Saccharomyces cerevisiae S288C: one gene and its partners. The protein of the gene in region 4 purifies or fractionates together with the protein of the main gene of each other region. This does not show direct contact. Each region holds a gene or a part of one and is shown on either strand. Other genes may lie near its edges.

What was found.
Region 1: the proteins of RSC9 (region 4) and NPL6 purify together in Saccharomyces cerevisiae (affinity purification with mass spectrometry; 6 studies listed by BioGRID). This does not show direct contact.
Region 2: the proteins of RSC9 (region 4) and SFH1 purify together in Saccharomyces cerevisiae (affinity purification with mass spectrometry; 5 studies listed by BioGRID). This does not show direct contact.
Region 3: the proteins of RSC9 (region 4) and RSC2 purify together in Saccharomyces cerevisiae (affinity purification with mass spectrometry; 13 studies listed by BioGRID, with this or other methods). This does not show direct contact.

The regions. Positions count from the first base shown.
Region 1 is NC_001145.3:449,544-453,095, forward strand, and holds NPL6 (Npl6p), read right to left. Parts: upstream 1,823-3,552; coding exon 515-1,822; downstream 1-514. Other genes in the region: YMR090W (uncharacterized protein), read left to right, coding at 1-385; AIP1 (Aip1p), read right to left, coding at 2,089-3,552. UniProt on the Saccharomyces cerevisiae protein: Component of the chromatin structure remodeling complex (RSC), which is involved in transcription regulation and nucleosome positioning. RSC is responsible for the transfer of a histone octamer from a nucleosome core particle to naked DNA.
Region 2 is NC_001144.5:776,031-779,488, forward strand, and holds SFH1 (Sfh1p), read right to left. Parts: upstream 1,835-3,458; coding exon 554-1,834; downstream 1-553. Other genes in the region: MMS22 (Mms22p), read left to right, coding at 1-274; U2-type spliceosomal complex subunit CWC24, read right to left, coding at 2,143-2,922; PEX30 (peroxisome biogenesis protein), read left to right, coding at 3,185-3,458. UniProt on the Saccharomyces cerevisiae protein: Component of the chromatin structure-remodeling complex (RSC), which is involved in transcription regulation and nucleosome positioning. RSC is responsible for the transfer of a histone octamer from a nucleosome core particle to naked DNA.
Region 3 is NC_001144.5:839,763-844,500, reverse strand, and holds RSC2 (Rsc2p), read right to left. Parts: upstream 3,171-4,738; coding exon 501-3,170; downstream 1-500. Other genes in the region: adenylosuccinase ADE13, read right to left, coding at 1-219; YLR358C (uncharacterized protein), read left to right, coding at 451-1,014; ATG33 (Atg33p), read right to left, coding at 3,587-4,180. UniProt on the Saccharomyces cerevisiae protein: Component of the chromatin structure remodeling complex (RSC), which is involved in transcription regulation and nucleosome positioning. RSC is responsible for the transfer of a histone octamer from a nucleosome core particle to naked DNA.
Region 4 is NC_001145.3:15,457-19,376, reverse strand, and holds RSC9 (Rsc9p), read right to left. Parts: upstream 2,314-3,920; coding exon 568-2,313; downstream 1-567. Other genes in the region: ERG13 (hydroxymethylglutaryl-CoA synthase), read left to right, coding at 1-317; double-strand break repair enhancer MSC1, read left to right, coding at 2,701-3,920.

The DNA of each region.
Region 1 (3,552 bases), 430 kb from region 4:
AGTTGTTGAAGCATGCGAAAAGGCTGGTATCAAAAGGTTCGTTGTTGTTTCAGCGCTCAAGGCGGAGGATAGAGATTTTTGGTATAACATTAAGGGTTTGCGTGAATACTATATTGCAAAGAGATCTGCTGATCGTGAGGTTAGAAACTCTAATTTGGATTACACTATTTTACAGCCTGGATCGTTGGAACTAAATAAAGGTACCGGTCTTTTGCAACCCCTTGACAAATTAGAAGAGAAGGCTTCTGTTAACTACTCCATTAACAGGGAGGATGTAGCTTCTTTTATTGTGGAAAGCTTGCTACATCCAAATGCAACAGTGAAAAAAACCATTTCGTTGGTAAATGGCAACGAGCCAATGGAAAAATTCATTCAAAGTTTGTAGATCAACCTATTTACGCGTGAAATGCATATGTAGATGAATAGTCAAGAAAAGAAAAAGAAAGTGAGAATATATGAATTTTTTTACCTTGATTTGAAGATAAAAATTTGTTATATTGTTACATTGAGTATACTAAATATATTCGTTGCATTTTTCGAAATTTTGTTGTTCGGTGATAGCCCTTAAAACGTCTTCATCAACAACGTCTTCATAGATCTCTTTCGGGATTTCCGACAGTCCCGTTTTCGGTTTATTCAAATCGTTATCGTGTATAACGGTCTCATACACAATGCTTGTGTCGCTGGGACTATCGTTTTTTGATCTCCTCCATCCTAAAACAGTGGTTGACTGTGTGGATTCTGGTATGTGTAATATATTTGTGTATGCATCTCTCAAGCCTTGTTGATCTACAAGAAGAACCTTCACTCTATCATAAAACAAATCGCTATTAAATCTACTACACGCAGCAGAATGCTGATAGAGCCAATTTGTAGAGCTCAGCTTACTACCTGATGCAATAATATTAGAATTACTCATGTGACCATGTGGCCTGTGTTCAAAGAATTCCACCTGGTTTTTTGCAGGGTTTATGCCATTCTCGGAAGCAGGATACATCATGGTTTCTAAGGCCCTTGCGGATTTATCAATAGGATCACCAGCAAGTTTTCCTTCAATTACATTTCCCTTTGTTCTTAATTCAGAAGCATAATAATCATCGGTTATATGTTTGCCGCCACGAATGATTTTAGCACCAAATTCTTTAAACACGCCTCTAGCGGTGACTAGAGCGATTTGTCTATTTCTATATGAATAAGGTAAAACGCCACGGTCTATCAAGTCGTTCTTTTGAGTTTGATTCAGAATGAACTTATAAAGGTTGGGGTGAGTTTGAAAAAATAAATATGAATCTCTAAAACCCACTATCCTAGCCGGTTCGGTGGCCAGCATAAACTTTCGATTCCCCTTCTCAGTTAATGTGAAGGTGCGCACTAAAAATTCTCTGCCTCCTAATAGATCACCATCTGCAGTTATCTTCGTCTCACCTTCAGGATCATCTGGTAGAACATATTCTTCATTGACCACTTTCAAAGGATTTAAGTTCTCCTCAGCATCATCGATTCCGGGAAATACTGGTTTTTTGAACTTTGAACGGTTTCTAGATCTAGTAACGCCTTTATCCTCTGACAAATCCTCTTCTTCGTCCACGTGCCTCCTTTTGTTTCTTCCGCTTTTATTTATCTGTTCCTCCTCATCACTTATTTCTTCTTCATTCACTCCCTCATTGGCTTCTTCTTCTCTGTAATCATCATCTTCATTCTCATCATTTTCATCAATATCTAAATCCTCAGTATCAATTGCATAATTGGGTCTGTTGCTAGTAGATCTTGACCGCTTCTCATGTTCAACTTCGGAAGCTAGACCTCCCTCTGAATCTGACATTTCTGCTAGATGGTATTTCCTTCTTCAAAAGTAAATGTACTGTATTCAGTAATGCTTAAACTTTATAAAGCTGTTTTCTTGCAATATTTTTGTCTGCTCACAGTAACATGTTTAATAGTTCGAACGGGTTTTTTTTTAAAAGAGCGAAGTAATCAAAGCATTCGGGTAATAATTACAAGTTTATATGGACTGTGGTAAAAACAGTGTAAAACTTTTTTATATCTATTTTTCTAAGGTTACGTAATTGTTTACTTTATATTCTTATCTCACTCGAGGACAACATTCCACCTTTTAATGCAAGCGTCCGCACCAGAACTAACCAAGGTAGATGGTGTTTCCCATAAAAGGTTGTTAACACCGTCCTTGTGAGCATTCAACGCCTTAATGATTTTCATAGGTCTTTTGACGGAGTAAATAAAAATATTGGTGTCTAAAGAACCAGTGGCAACTAAGTCCTCTTCAATTTCCTCTTCGTTTGCTCCCTTTTCAGCAGGTTTCCATGAAATGGCGTTGATTTTACTGGTGTGGAAAGCCCATCTTGAAGTTTTCACTTCTCTTGATTGTAAATCATATAGCAATATCTTGCCCATAACATCTCCAGCAGCGATGTATGTTTCAGATGGCGAAATTGATATGTACGAGGGTTTTGCGCGAAGAGGTGTTTTTAAATCAAAACTGACTTCCAAATCTGATAATTTGAATACCTGAATAGTATTACCTTCTTCCAAACCAACTGCAACGTAATTTTGGCTCAAGCTAACGGCAGAGCCTGGTGAGTTCAGTCTTACACTCTTGATTATATCGCCCGTAAAAGACTGTAATATCAACAAATCATCATCATTTGTTAGTACTGCAGTGAAGCCATCATTGTTCGCACTAGCAACCTTTGGTTGCGATCCAAATTCATGCTTAGTAATACCGTTCACTTTCAAAGTATCATCCCAAGAAATACTGGAGTATTCTTGCGCTTTACTATTATCCAATGATACAATCAAGTTGGAGTGATCTTGGTGCATGGAAGAGCTAGACCATTCCATAATCCTACCATCATATGACCCACTGATTAGTGGGTTGACTGTCAAAGCAGTAATACCCTTGTTATGACCACTAATGGTTTTTAAAACCTCGTCATGTCCAAGTTCATAGAAGTTTAAGGTCCCATCCAGTGAAAGAGAAATAATCCTTCCGTTTCCTGTTGCAACAACACCAACTTGTTGATTTCCCAGTTGTTGCTTGTCTAAGGTCCATTTTTGAACGCATTTTGAAGTCGTGACGTCCCAAACCCTAATGGTAGCGTCTGCTCCTACGGTAGCAAACTTTTGGGAATCAAGCCACGATAGTGCAAATATACCACCTTGAACTGGTTCTTGATCATCCTCTATGTATTTAAGAAACTCACCTGATTTGCCATCAAAGCAAGAAATCTTTCTGTCAGACCCTACCGTAATAACAAATTCACCGCTGTCAGGTGAAAATTCAACATCCCTGACAAATGAGCCTTGTTTGTGGTGTGTTCTGTCACTGGCAGAGAACTTAAATGGAGGTCCTTGATAAAAGACAACAGATCCATCATCTCCAACTGTCATAGATCTCATAGGTCTAGATTGCTTCAAATGACAAGCATTGATGCGTTGTGAGTGACCTGAAACTTCACCTAAGGAATTACCAGAATCCCAGGATATGAAAACACCAAAGTTATCACGACCTTCTCCCACAACGCAGAGTCTTCG
Region 2 (3,458 bases), on a different chromosome or scaffold from region 4:
TGAGTGCGCAACAGACGACACCTTTAATAGTAATAGTGATTTGATCGCCGCAAAAGATGCGTTTTTGGTATCTGTGTTGAGAATCGCAGATGGGTTTTGGGAGCATGACAAACTTTTGCAGCTAAGGATGCTTGATAGTAATATGAACATACCTAATCAGATTCCTCATACTACTTTGCAAAGTTCGCTATCTGCGATTGTAATAAAGATAATAGAAAGTAATATAGGAAAAATTGAGGCGTCTGAACCTTTCAAAACCTTCAAGAATACGTAAATTATACACATGTAATATAAGCATATTTAAAAATTCTCCGTAATATATGTCATATATGTCAAATTGCGAATTAGTCCAAATAGAAACAAGATCTATCAGTGTTGGTGATAAACATTTTGTATTCTTTTGGTAACGTGTATCTCAAAGAAGTGCATGACTTTTTTTACGTTCTCTTTAGTCTTGATTTAGTTGCTTCTGCGTTTGTTAAATTTTTTGTCCTTCCCGTTTGATTAATAATACTTATAATAATACAATTCTGTAACAAGAAAAGCAAAGTTACTACATTCTCATTGTGGTTTCTAAGTCATCTAATCTTCTCCTGCCCCTTCTAGATAATCTATCAGTTTCTCTTTTCAATCTTCTTAAGTTTCTTTCTTTTTCAATTTCTCTCTTTTGTATTTCTTCTTTTGTTAATATTTCCACCCTTGGGCACCAATTGGAGCCCAGTTCATCAATATCCAGCCTTATACCAGATAAGTACCCAAATGCGGCATCGTTTGGGACATGGTCCTGAATCAAGTGGCCATCTACCCAGTCCTTCTTTATCTTCAAGATAGTTTCATGAAGCGATTGAGATATTAAGGGGATGAACTCTCTTGTTAAGCCAAGGTCCTGTACAATGGATGTAGCAAATCTTTCTGGAGTAAGTGATTTGTCGTTCAAGTTCCACTGGAAGTTATCTTCAAAAAATCTGTCTTGTAAGTTGCAGGTTAGGTTGATTATCACGTGGAGGTCAGACATTATCTCAGTGGCTGCAATATTTTCGAGGTCTTTCAACTGCTCTTTTATTATATTCGCAATTTGAGTTTGTAAGGTAGCGGAAGTCATATCAAGATCTTTACAGTATATAGAGGCAAATTCCTCCGGAGATATGGAGTCGTCATTGTAGTTCCAGAGAAACTGGTCTTTTATGGTATGACCCATATGTTCTATATCCAAAGTAATTGGTATCATGATTGCCTCTCCAGAATTGGCGTTTGCCTTCGTTTCTTGATCAGTGTTGAGTCTATATGGAGACACCACTTTTCCGTTAATGAAAGTATCTCTTATTTTAGGGTATCTCAATATGTTGAAGGGGTTGTGGTGTTGGTCTTGCAGATCCGGTAGAACGGCGTTTCCAATATCCTGTGCCTGCGCTTTGTTGCTCGGACCATTGCTGGCGTTGTTATTGCTATTCAAACCGGATAAAGATTCCACAACCATGTTTGAACCCGCATCGTATTTGTTGTTAGAGATAATACTATCAGCTCCATTCATGTTCTCTAGGACATTGTATTCGGAACCGTCCATGGTAACACCATTTGTAAGTGCCGGAGTATTTTCATGAGACACTGCATTATCTTTATAGTGTGTATCAGCATTGTTGAAATTAGAACCGTTCATATTGAATTCATCAAAGAGATCGTTGTCATATTCCGCATAGTTGACCACTTTAGCCCTTTTATGCTGCCTTGTTTGTTGAGCCATTGTAAAGATGGGGATACCATCATCTTCGTTTGTCAATCTGTTATGAAAGTTAGAAATATAAGCTTGTGGAATAAGCTGGTTTTGGTGCGACATTGTGTGCTGCTATGTGCCTTTCTTCTTTCTTTTTTCAATGTACTTCATTCAATAATCTCTATTTGTCGTATTTTCTAAGTTTTTTTTTTTTGTCAAAGTAGTCGCGGCGACTTTAAATGAGCAGATCATCATTTAGTAGACAAAAAGACACGGGACATCTTCTATCTATATAGTTTACATACTTTATTATGTGAAAGAGTCTTTCGAAATTGCAACAATGCTCGATAAATCTATGGGTCATGTGCTCTATAATTCCTGTACATTAGCATCGGGTGCGTGTAATTTTTGGGGTGATATGGCATTCTCCATCAACTTTTCCTTTTATTTAGCATCTTCTGTAAGTCAGATGCTACTTTTGCACTGCCGTGGGTCTCCTTGTGGCATATAAAGCATTTGGTGCCCTTTTTCATATCTTTGGCAAAACACGATCCACAAAAATAATGGCCACAGTTTGTGACCACTGGAGACTTGTAATCTTCCTTACAAAGAGTGCACTTGAACGGTATCTTTTCCAAGTCTAGAGTAACCGCTTTGGAGTCCTCTTTATCCGCATTCCATTCTTGGTTCAGCTTCCAGCCAGTCTTGAAATCATCCCTCGAGTGTAAGAACTTGCAGCTATCTCCGTAACCACAGTATCCCGTCTGTTTGTAATCTTTGCAAACGTCGGGCTGAAAATCCATCAGCACCGTGGTCCGGATATTCGTTGGTTGGTTAATCTGTTTAGTGAGGCGTTTATTTTTACCGCTCATGTTCAGTACCAGCTCATTGTCATCACTAGGTCGCCTCTTCTTTGCCTTCTCAGCCAGCTCTTTTCTCTCAAAGTTTAGAAGATCTTCTTTAGTGCTGTCGTCGTTGACCGTTAAAGTGTATTTATCTAAATCCTCACCCTTTTTCTGTAGTTTACCTTCATTCTCATGTGAAAGTTGAAGTGTCCTGCTATTTCCACTCTTGGCTAAGCTCATGAGGTCACTGGAACCCTTTTCTTCATCGCTGGCCACTAGTTTCTCTTCGCTAAAATTAATTTTCTGCCTCTTTTTCTGGTTCTTTTCATCAGAAGAGCTTTTGTTCACTAATCTCTTTCTGAACATGAATACCTGGAGCTTTGATTAAGTGATGGAGCTTTCGATGGCTTTAGCTTGAGTCCACTTCAGATAGAGATGCGCATGGCTTTTTCTTATTATTCTCCGGTTGCACGGAAAGAAGCGGGAAGAGGACTAAAGGGTTTTTGGATCAGCTTCACAAAATATATACTTGGATACGTTCGCTACTGAGGTAAAGTGGGCATGCAAGGTTGCAATTTAGGATTCGAGCTGTCTAGTTGATCCTCCGGAGTGTAAAAACTGATTTTCAATGAGTGGTAACACAACTAACGTGCATGAGACTAGAGCCAAGTTTGCAGAGACGCTGCAACCGAGGATTGGTGGCAATACTACAAAAGTGATACGAGCTGCTTTGGAAAAGAACGAAGCTGAAAGCGGGGTGTCTGAGGATAATGATAACGGGTCATTGGAGAAAGTTAACGTAGCTACTTCGCCGCTTTTGACATCAACACCGCCCACAATCTCAAAGGCGTTGGTGAAATTGTACCCTTATTTAATTCTCATTGACGAATTCCTAAACGTTG
Region 3 (4,738 bases), on a different chromosome or scaffold from region 4:
TTTTGCGATTTCATCATCAGTGATTTCGACGTGTTTGCGCATTTGCTCAATTGCTTCATCTGTAACAACAGTTAAGCCCAATTCCTTCTCAGCAATAGCCAAATTTAACCATAGTTTTCTCCATGTGGAAAATCTGTTTCTCAAAGAAAACGTTGCTGACATTTCCTTGGAGGCATATCTAGAAGACAATGGCGTAGTGTAATTGTCATAGTCAGGCATCTTTTATATAATTCGGATAGTTTATTTCACTTTAGTTGTAGCAACTTACTGGAAAAGCTTTGGTCCTTGGGGAAGAAATTTTGAGAGGTTGGTGATGAAGTATAATTGTTTTATATGGCTACTATTAATACAACGATAATATATCTATAGATGACTTTCTTCTATATAATAACTTCTGTTTTATTTCATTTTCCTGCTTTGTTTGAAGTTTGACTCTGCTCGCGGAGGGTAATGCGCAATGGGAAGATATTATGCTGCCATTGCTTTTACAATAAAGGTGATCATGAAGACGACGAAGGAGGCCGCAGCATAGAGAGTCTGTGCGCCGTGAACTTAGCCGAGGGTCTTAATCCAAGGACAAATGGGCCTGGCAAGGACTCTTTCTCATTTTCAACATCCGGTTCTAAGCCATCATCATCTTTGTCCTTTCCAGTCACATCTTCCATGGTTTCTTCAACTTCTTCGTATTCTAGTTTTCTTTTCTTGTTAGTGGTAAACCACCTATTCAGTGGCAGGCTTAGGTGTGGGTCACCTGAATTTATTATTCGTTCATTTACTATCACACTAGGTCCTCTGAACCATAATATTTCACCCTTTGTTTTTTTCCATGGAAACATCTCTTCTCTTCCAGATCTCTTGGTTTGGCTGTGCAGATCAGTACGCTGCAAAACATCTACGTTTTTGGTTATAGAGATAGGTAAGACAAACGAGGAGGCTGCATCGATCATTATATTACCCAAATTACCTCTTGATGCCTGCGATGTTAAATCATCGATTATTGTTGGGATATTATAACGTGATGCTTGGGATCTTTTCTGTTGTTGGTATTGATGTTGCTGCTGTTGTAACCTTTGCAATTGGTGTTGCTTTAAACCTTGTACAGTAAGCGGGCCTCCCGCGCCAGGGGAACCAACTCTTGACAGTGGTATTTGTTGCTGGCCAATAGCATTTTGGTTTTCTAAAGACATAGATGACCTGTTATATCTTAAACTGGATAGTTTACTACTTGAGTATCCTGTTTTAGGAAGAGCATTTGCTGTTGGCGTGTTTGTGGTGATCGTACCTGTTTCTATATCCACTTGTCCCTCTTCGGGAGAATCGTTGGGTCTGATAATATACCTGGGACAGTCATCAGAGGTTGCATATTCCCCCAAATCGTCACGCTGCATTTTAGGTCTCATATAAACGGCACCGACCAATGGTGGCGCGTCCGGGGATCCCATCGTTGGTTCAGGAACGCGATCATGCGGCGTTGCATTAGCTGGTAGTAGATGTCTTATGGGGGAAGGATATTTGAAGAACTTTCTACCATTTACCGGAATGGTAGCTTCGTCCAAATCACGAATTTCCTCTGGTAAGCAAGCCTTCCAGGTTCTAATCTTGTTAAAAATTTTATCGGATTCATTATAACGGAATTCGCAAACGAACAAGGGACCCTCCAATTTCATATCGGGATTACCACGTTGATATCTAGTAAAGTGAATCACATAGCATTTCCCAACTAAGTTTGACACTAAATGATCACGGTACTGACCTGTTTTCATAACTTCGTTTTTGTAAAACAATCTATCCACTCTATGCACAGTTTGTTCGGGTCTGTAATACCAACAAGCGTTTAACCATTGTTTCCCATCTGGTGTCTTCCATAGCCTGAATATTTGGCCCACTATAGGTTTTTGAGGATCATTTTGATTTCGAAGAAGTGCCCAATCTCCCACGTGGTATGATATATTATTTACAATGACTTCATCTAGAGGGTATCTTAGCTCGCCTTCTGGAATGAAACTTCTATCAGGTTTGGATAGTTCGAATCTTGCCAGACTAGTAAAGGTCTTTTCTAAGATATTTGAAATTTTTATGCTTTCAGGATCACCTCTGTGCGAAATTCTAAAGTTGGTTAACATAAGATTAAAATCATTCTGGAACTCCTGGAACGTTTTATAACGACGAGTCTTTACCTTTTTATTTATGTCTTGAAGACTAATTGGATTAGCAATCATGATGTAGTAATTTGCATCTCTGTGTCTATCGGGCAATCTTTCAAAAAGATCAGTTAGACCAATTCCACTATCTAGCACCTCTTTTTTTAGTACTTTCATAACATTTTTCATTCTTTGAATATACGGTAAGTCGATGATTGGGGGTCTCCCACGCTTTACCTGAGTTCTGGATACCTGTCTATGCCTTGGGCCTAACGGCTGAGGGGTGCCTGAGTGAGATGGAGTAGTGGACCTGTTGTCTCTTAATGGTTTCCGAGTATATGGATTAATATTTATTAGTGGCTTTCTTATCAAATCAGGAAAATCAGCATCCTTAGGGTTATCGATATCCATATCCGTCGCCTCATAGTCCTCATCATTATTTGTATCGGTTCCTGGTTCTGATTCTCTTTTGACGGAAGTACGAGTCTTTCTTAATCTTCTGGCTGCTTCTGTTGAATTCATTGAAGAGCTCGACTCGGCTCTGGCTGCATTAGCTCTCGCTACTTCCTCAGCTTTTTCTCTTAATTTCTGTTGAAACTCTTCATAACCTGGTTCATCGGGTAGAGGACCCAAATCAGGATACACTAATTGAGGATATTTTTCTTTTAAATTTGGATAGATTGTGTCCTTTAAATATTTCTCAAGGACTAAGGCGTATTTATAAATTCCTGAATCTCTTGTATTGTAAGTCTTGGCATTCCATGGAATCTGGACAACATCGTTCATAAACTGTTGAGCATCTGTATAATGTGGAATACGCTTTTTTAAAGTATTGAAAGATACAGGGTTCTTGATCACTGCGTAGTAGTCAGGATAATCCTTTTTAGGTGGAAGGACATTGAATATTGGTGAAATCTCTAACCCAGAATCTTCCTTTAAAGTGAAAAGAGATTCATATTCTTTCCTCAGGTCCTTGTATAATGCGCTTGAGTTTTGAGTGGACGAGTTTGAATTGTCATCAGGCATCATGCACTGTCAATGTAGAATATTCTCCGCTTCGTCTGGTTCTGCGCGACGTGCTGTATATTTGATCACGTATTGAACTGTTACCAATACTTTTTTCAGCTGTGTTGTTTTCTCTATTTTCTCACTTTAACATGCGAATTTTCGCACGACTCTCGGCCGGGTGAGAAAAGTCAGTGACAGTAATAAACCAAGTGCAAGAGCACCTACAAATGTGCTTATTACAGTGTATTATTATGTATATATGTGCATACGTGTGTGTATGCACAATTTTTGAACATACTGTCTTTTGAACGTTTGAAAACTCGTAGGAATATATAAAAAAACTGCAAATTACTACACACTTTATTTTTGGAGAGAGAGAGGAGCCGAGTTCAGGCAGCTACAAATTCTTGTAGAGATAAATACGTGAACGAGAAACACTAGATAAATTGTCCTTCCCCATAAACGCCAATAACGGCTTGTACAAAGCCAACAATAGCAATAGCAGTTGCTGCAATTAGATTTTTAGTATGGATTGGGGGACCGGTGTGCAATGCCTCTGCCGGCTTTGATACTGTGGTTGCTGCAGGCTTCCCGTCTCGAGGTGTATTTTCTGAAGCATGGTTGTCTTCACCTAAATCAATAATAGAATCGCTCAGTTCGGAAGCAGCGAGTTTGCTGTCTTCGGGAAATAAAGAAGATTCCTTAGAGACTTTACTGTACTTTCTAGACTGATAGTTGGAGGCACATCCTAGAACAAATGAAGATAATGGAGCTACAAGCATACCATAGAGTAAGTAGGGGTGTCTCAATGAGGGAGGAGCGCCGAAAAAGCTCACACAAAAGAAAGTTGACGCAAACGCTCCCAAGGCGGTGGCCGCATTTTTCAAAGTGGTTAAAGTGGGAGTAAGGGATCCTGTTAAAACCTCTAGTGGAGTAGTAGATGTAATCAATGAAGCGGAAGCCAAAAGACCAGAGTAGAGGCCTATAGAAGAAACTGCGATACCTTTTGTGATGGCTAAACAAACAGACATCTTTTTATATGTTTTTACTTCTGTATATCGTGAAGTAGTAAGTGATAAGCGAATTTGGCTAAGAACGTTGTAAGTGAACAAGGGACCTCTTTTGCCTTTCAAAAAAGGATTAAATGGAGTTAATCATTGAGATTTAGTTTTCGTTAGATTCTGTATCCCTAAATAACTCCCTTACCCGACGGGAAGGCACAAAAGACTTGAATAATAGCAAACGGCCAGTAGCCAAGACCAAATAATACTAGAGTTAACTGATGGTCTTAAACAGGCATTACGTGGTGAACTCCAAGACCAATATACAAAATATCGATAAGTTATTCTTGCCCACCAATTTAAGGAGCCTACATCAGGACAGTAGTACCATTCCTCAGAGAAGAGGTATACATAACAAGAAAATCGCGTGAACACCTTATATAACTTAGCCCGTTATTGAGCTAAAAAACCTTGCAAAATTTCCTATGAATAAGAATACTTCAGACGTGATAAAAATTTACTTTCTAACTCTTCTCACGCTGCCCCTATCTGTTCTTCCGCTCTACCGTGAGAAATAAAGCATCGAGT
Region 4 (3,920 bases):
ATGTTGGATCTGACGACTTACAAGGCAAGCGTGTTGGTTTATTTTCTTACGGTTCCGGTTTAGCTGCATCTCTATATTCTTGCAAAATTGTTGGTGACGTCCAACATATTATCAAGGAATTAGATATTACTAACAAATTAGCCAAGAGAATCACCGAAACTCCAAAGGATTACGAAGCTGCCATCGAATTGAGAGAAAATGCCCATTTGAAGAAGAACTTCAAACCTCAAGGTTCCATTGAGCATTTGCAAAGTGGTGTTTACTACTTGACCAACATCGATGACAAATTTAGAAGATCTTACGATGTTAAAAAATAATCTTCCCCCATCGATTGCATCTTGCTGAACCCCCTTCATAAATGCTTTATTTTTTTGGCAGCCTGCTTTTTTTAGCTCTCATTTAATAGAGTAGTTTTTTAATCTATATACTAGGAAAACTCTTTATTTAATAACAATGATATATATATATATTTTTTTTATAAAGAATTGTATATCTATATTTATAACACAATAAATCTAATCTCAACTTTTTTCTTTAAAGTTAAGCCCAACCGATTTTTTTTCTCATTCATAACCCCGACGTGTTTTCCATGTATTCAGACAATGCTAATGTTAAAGGTGGAATATCAGCCAATTTATGTAGAACCAGTGGCCTGATGCGTTGACAAAATGCGGAACCAGCACCATCATCCGTGTCGTTGGATAAAAGGCACAAAAACGTACAGGCCACTTTAGAAACATCTGAGAGTTCTTGAGGGAATTTGACCTCTGGTATGCTGTTTTGTCTTGCAGGTGTAATTTCCTTAGAGTCATTCAAAAATTTGGATTTTAGTGCCGAAATGGGTACCTGGGATTCTCTTTCCCCGTCTGCAATACCCAAAGCTTTAAATCTTGGTTGAATGCCCTTGATAACAAACCTTTTCTTGCCGGTTACCGGGTCAGTGATTACGATAGCAGCGGCGTTATTGAAAGCATTCGAGACATTCTTGATGAATTCCACGGCAGGTAACAATTTGCGTCCGGATTCGCGAACAGGCTGACCAAATTTGGATTCGTAGGATCTCCAAAGCGATATTTGTGTAAATTCTGCTTCTTGTACAGGCTCAAAGCAACATCTCAACCAAGCGGTTGACCTCAAGGGCTCGTTAAGTTTGAAAAGTTGTTGAAACAGATCCTCAGATAAATTGGGAGGCTCCTTTGGAGCGGGAGGCTTCAACCTTTTAATCAACCTAATTTTGTGCTTTTGCAAAAGATGGTAATCTGGTGTGGCGATATTATATGATAATAAATTAGGCAGCGTGGCTTCCAGTATCAAAGAGCACTCCTTACTCTTGAATAACTCAGTGATTCTTTGAGAACCGGGCAAAATGTATTGATAGAGGAAATCCAACGAAGCAATAATCAGCTCACTATCGCATTCTAACAGTAAAAAGGAAACGATCAACGAAAGAGTCTTATGGTCCAAATTGTCCGCTGCACTTTCCTCGTTAGCTTTGGACCTAACCAGTAATCTTGAAAGAGACCTCAATATAGAAATAACCATGTATCTGTCCTTAGTGTAGTTCAAGATGGACACCAGCGTTTGGAAATAATGATCATCCTTCATTGCAGGAGCAATATAGGACGAAATGGCCTCCATCAAGTCCAGAGTATAATGGGTCAACTCGTTAAAAAAAGTTGCATTTCCTTCGTACAATTGCCACTTGTTATCGCCTGTAGCGACGCACTGAAACTTCTTCAAAATGAAAAGAATGAAAGATTTGATTTCTCGATCCTTGACTAGTATCTGCACCGAATCAGTATCTTGAGCCAGATTCCTTAGGATCAGCAAGGCATTTAGACCCATTTGTAGAGAATCCATCGCCTTTGAATCACATATAGACGATTTGTTAAGACCTTCCACGATGCGCTCCAAAGGCAATATGAAAGTCTTGAAAAGTGGCAACAGGTCCGGCAATGTCCGTAAGCTGATCATATATGGCGCCTTGTTACTATACGTAAGATATTTTTTTAAAGACCACTTAATCTCCTCCGGTATCCCACTCAGTAACGCCATCTCCATCCTCGTCAAATCGTCTACACCTCTGGCCGTTTCCTTGGGTAGCGACTGGAACACATTAAAATTGGCCAGCGAATAGTGGATGGACTTAGTATTGGCTGCAGGTCCCGTCAGAACTCCATTAGACTGTAATCGAGACACTTTAATAGGGTTAGCCACCATTGTCTCGAACATGTTCACAGGCTCGGAGCTTGTGGCGGGTGCCTCGCTTACTGGAGTACCATTTAGCGGTGTGTTTGAAGCTAACGAGTTCATCTTCAATCTTTATTTCCACTTCTTTACAAGCTTTCTGCCTTTCTCTATGACGTCTTTCCCAAAACACTACCTCTTGACACGACTTGTTGTTTTCGTTTTTCTCTAAGAATATCACTATTTTCACTTTTTTCACCTTTTCCACCATTACGTCGGTAAGCAACAGCATTACGCCGGCCTCACCTTAGAGGGGAAGAATAAGGGATCTTTGGAACTGAAGGAAAATAAGGGAGAGGGAGGAAACAAGGAGGCGGTGAAAGGGGATCGACAGGGTATTTAAAGCCACTCATGGAGTCGTATTCCTAGCATGATTAGATTACCGGAGTTTAGAAGAGGATCTGCAATAGAAGAGGAGACAACTACAAAAGAACTGTTAATTAAGAGAAGAAGATGAAGCAATTCAAGTTGGTTAATGCGGTTTCCGCATCATTTGTGCTTATTGGCTTAGTGTTGGCCAATTCAGATTCAGTGTTCGACAAGTGGACGCAGGAAGACCTGGCCGATTATTTACGTGATAATAAGAAGAGCTTGGAAAAGTACGCTACAGACTCCATTGAGGACTTGAAAACGGAGGCATCGCAGGTATGGGACAAACACGCGCAGCCCAAACCATGGTGGCAGGTGTGGTCTAGTGACAGCAGTAGCGTGAGCAACAGTAACCCCGGATGGTTTGGTTATACTGGTTCTTCGGATCACCCAGTTTCTGACTGGCTCTTTGACACCTGGTCCACAGACAGTCTACGTAACTTCTTGAAGAAAAACGGCGTGGATGTTGACGACGCTAAGGCTTCCAAGGACTCGCTGGTGAAGACTGCTAAGGAGAACTTCAACAAGATTTCCAAATCTTTGAAGTCGTCGGGATACTATCCTTCTAGCTCTTACTTTGATAGCTGGTCAACCAAAGATTTGCAAAACTGGTTGAATGACAATGGTATCGACTACGACAAGGCAGTTCAAAGCAAGGACGAGCTAGTTCAGAAAGTCAAGGAAAACATCTACCGAACTTCAGAAAAGGCAGAACAGCAGCGTCTGGGTTTGCTAGAAAGCTTGGATTTGGCTCACCAACAAATATTAGACACATCGGGACAAATAAAAGACACTGTATTTGACAAGTGGTCTAGTGATCAGTTAACCAATTGGTTGGAGAGCCACAAGGTCAATATTGACAAGAACATGGCCAAGAAACACGACTATTTGGTTAGAATGGCCAAAGAAAATTCTGCCAATTTGAAAGATGATATCTACTGGTACCTGGACTATATGAAAAGAGAGTCTTCTCCATTTTTGACCAAGACCCCAGAATACGTTGGTTCCGTTTGGGACTCTTCTAAAAATTTCCTCACAAATTTGTACTCCAAGTTCAGAGGTAAGACTGACAATGTGATCAATGATACTTTTTTGGTTGGCCTAGACTCTTGGCCAAAGGACAAATTGAAAATGTTTTTAGATGCTCGTGGTATTAAGTACTCAATGCTGTCTACTGAACATCAATTGAGAGAATTAGTCAAAAAATCCAGAAACGAAAAACTCAAGATCCTGCCAAAAGACTACCAAAAATACTTTGACAACAGTAACTGGTCTTTGGATGACATAAAGGGTTGGTTTGCTGA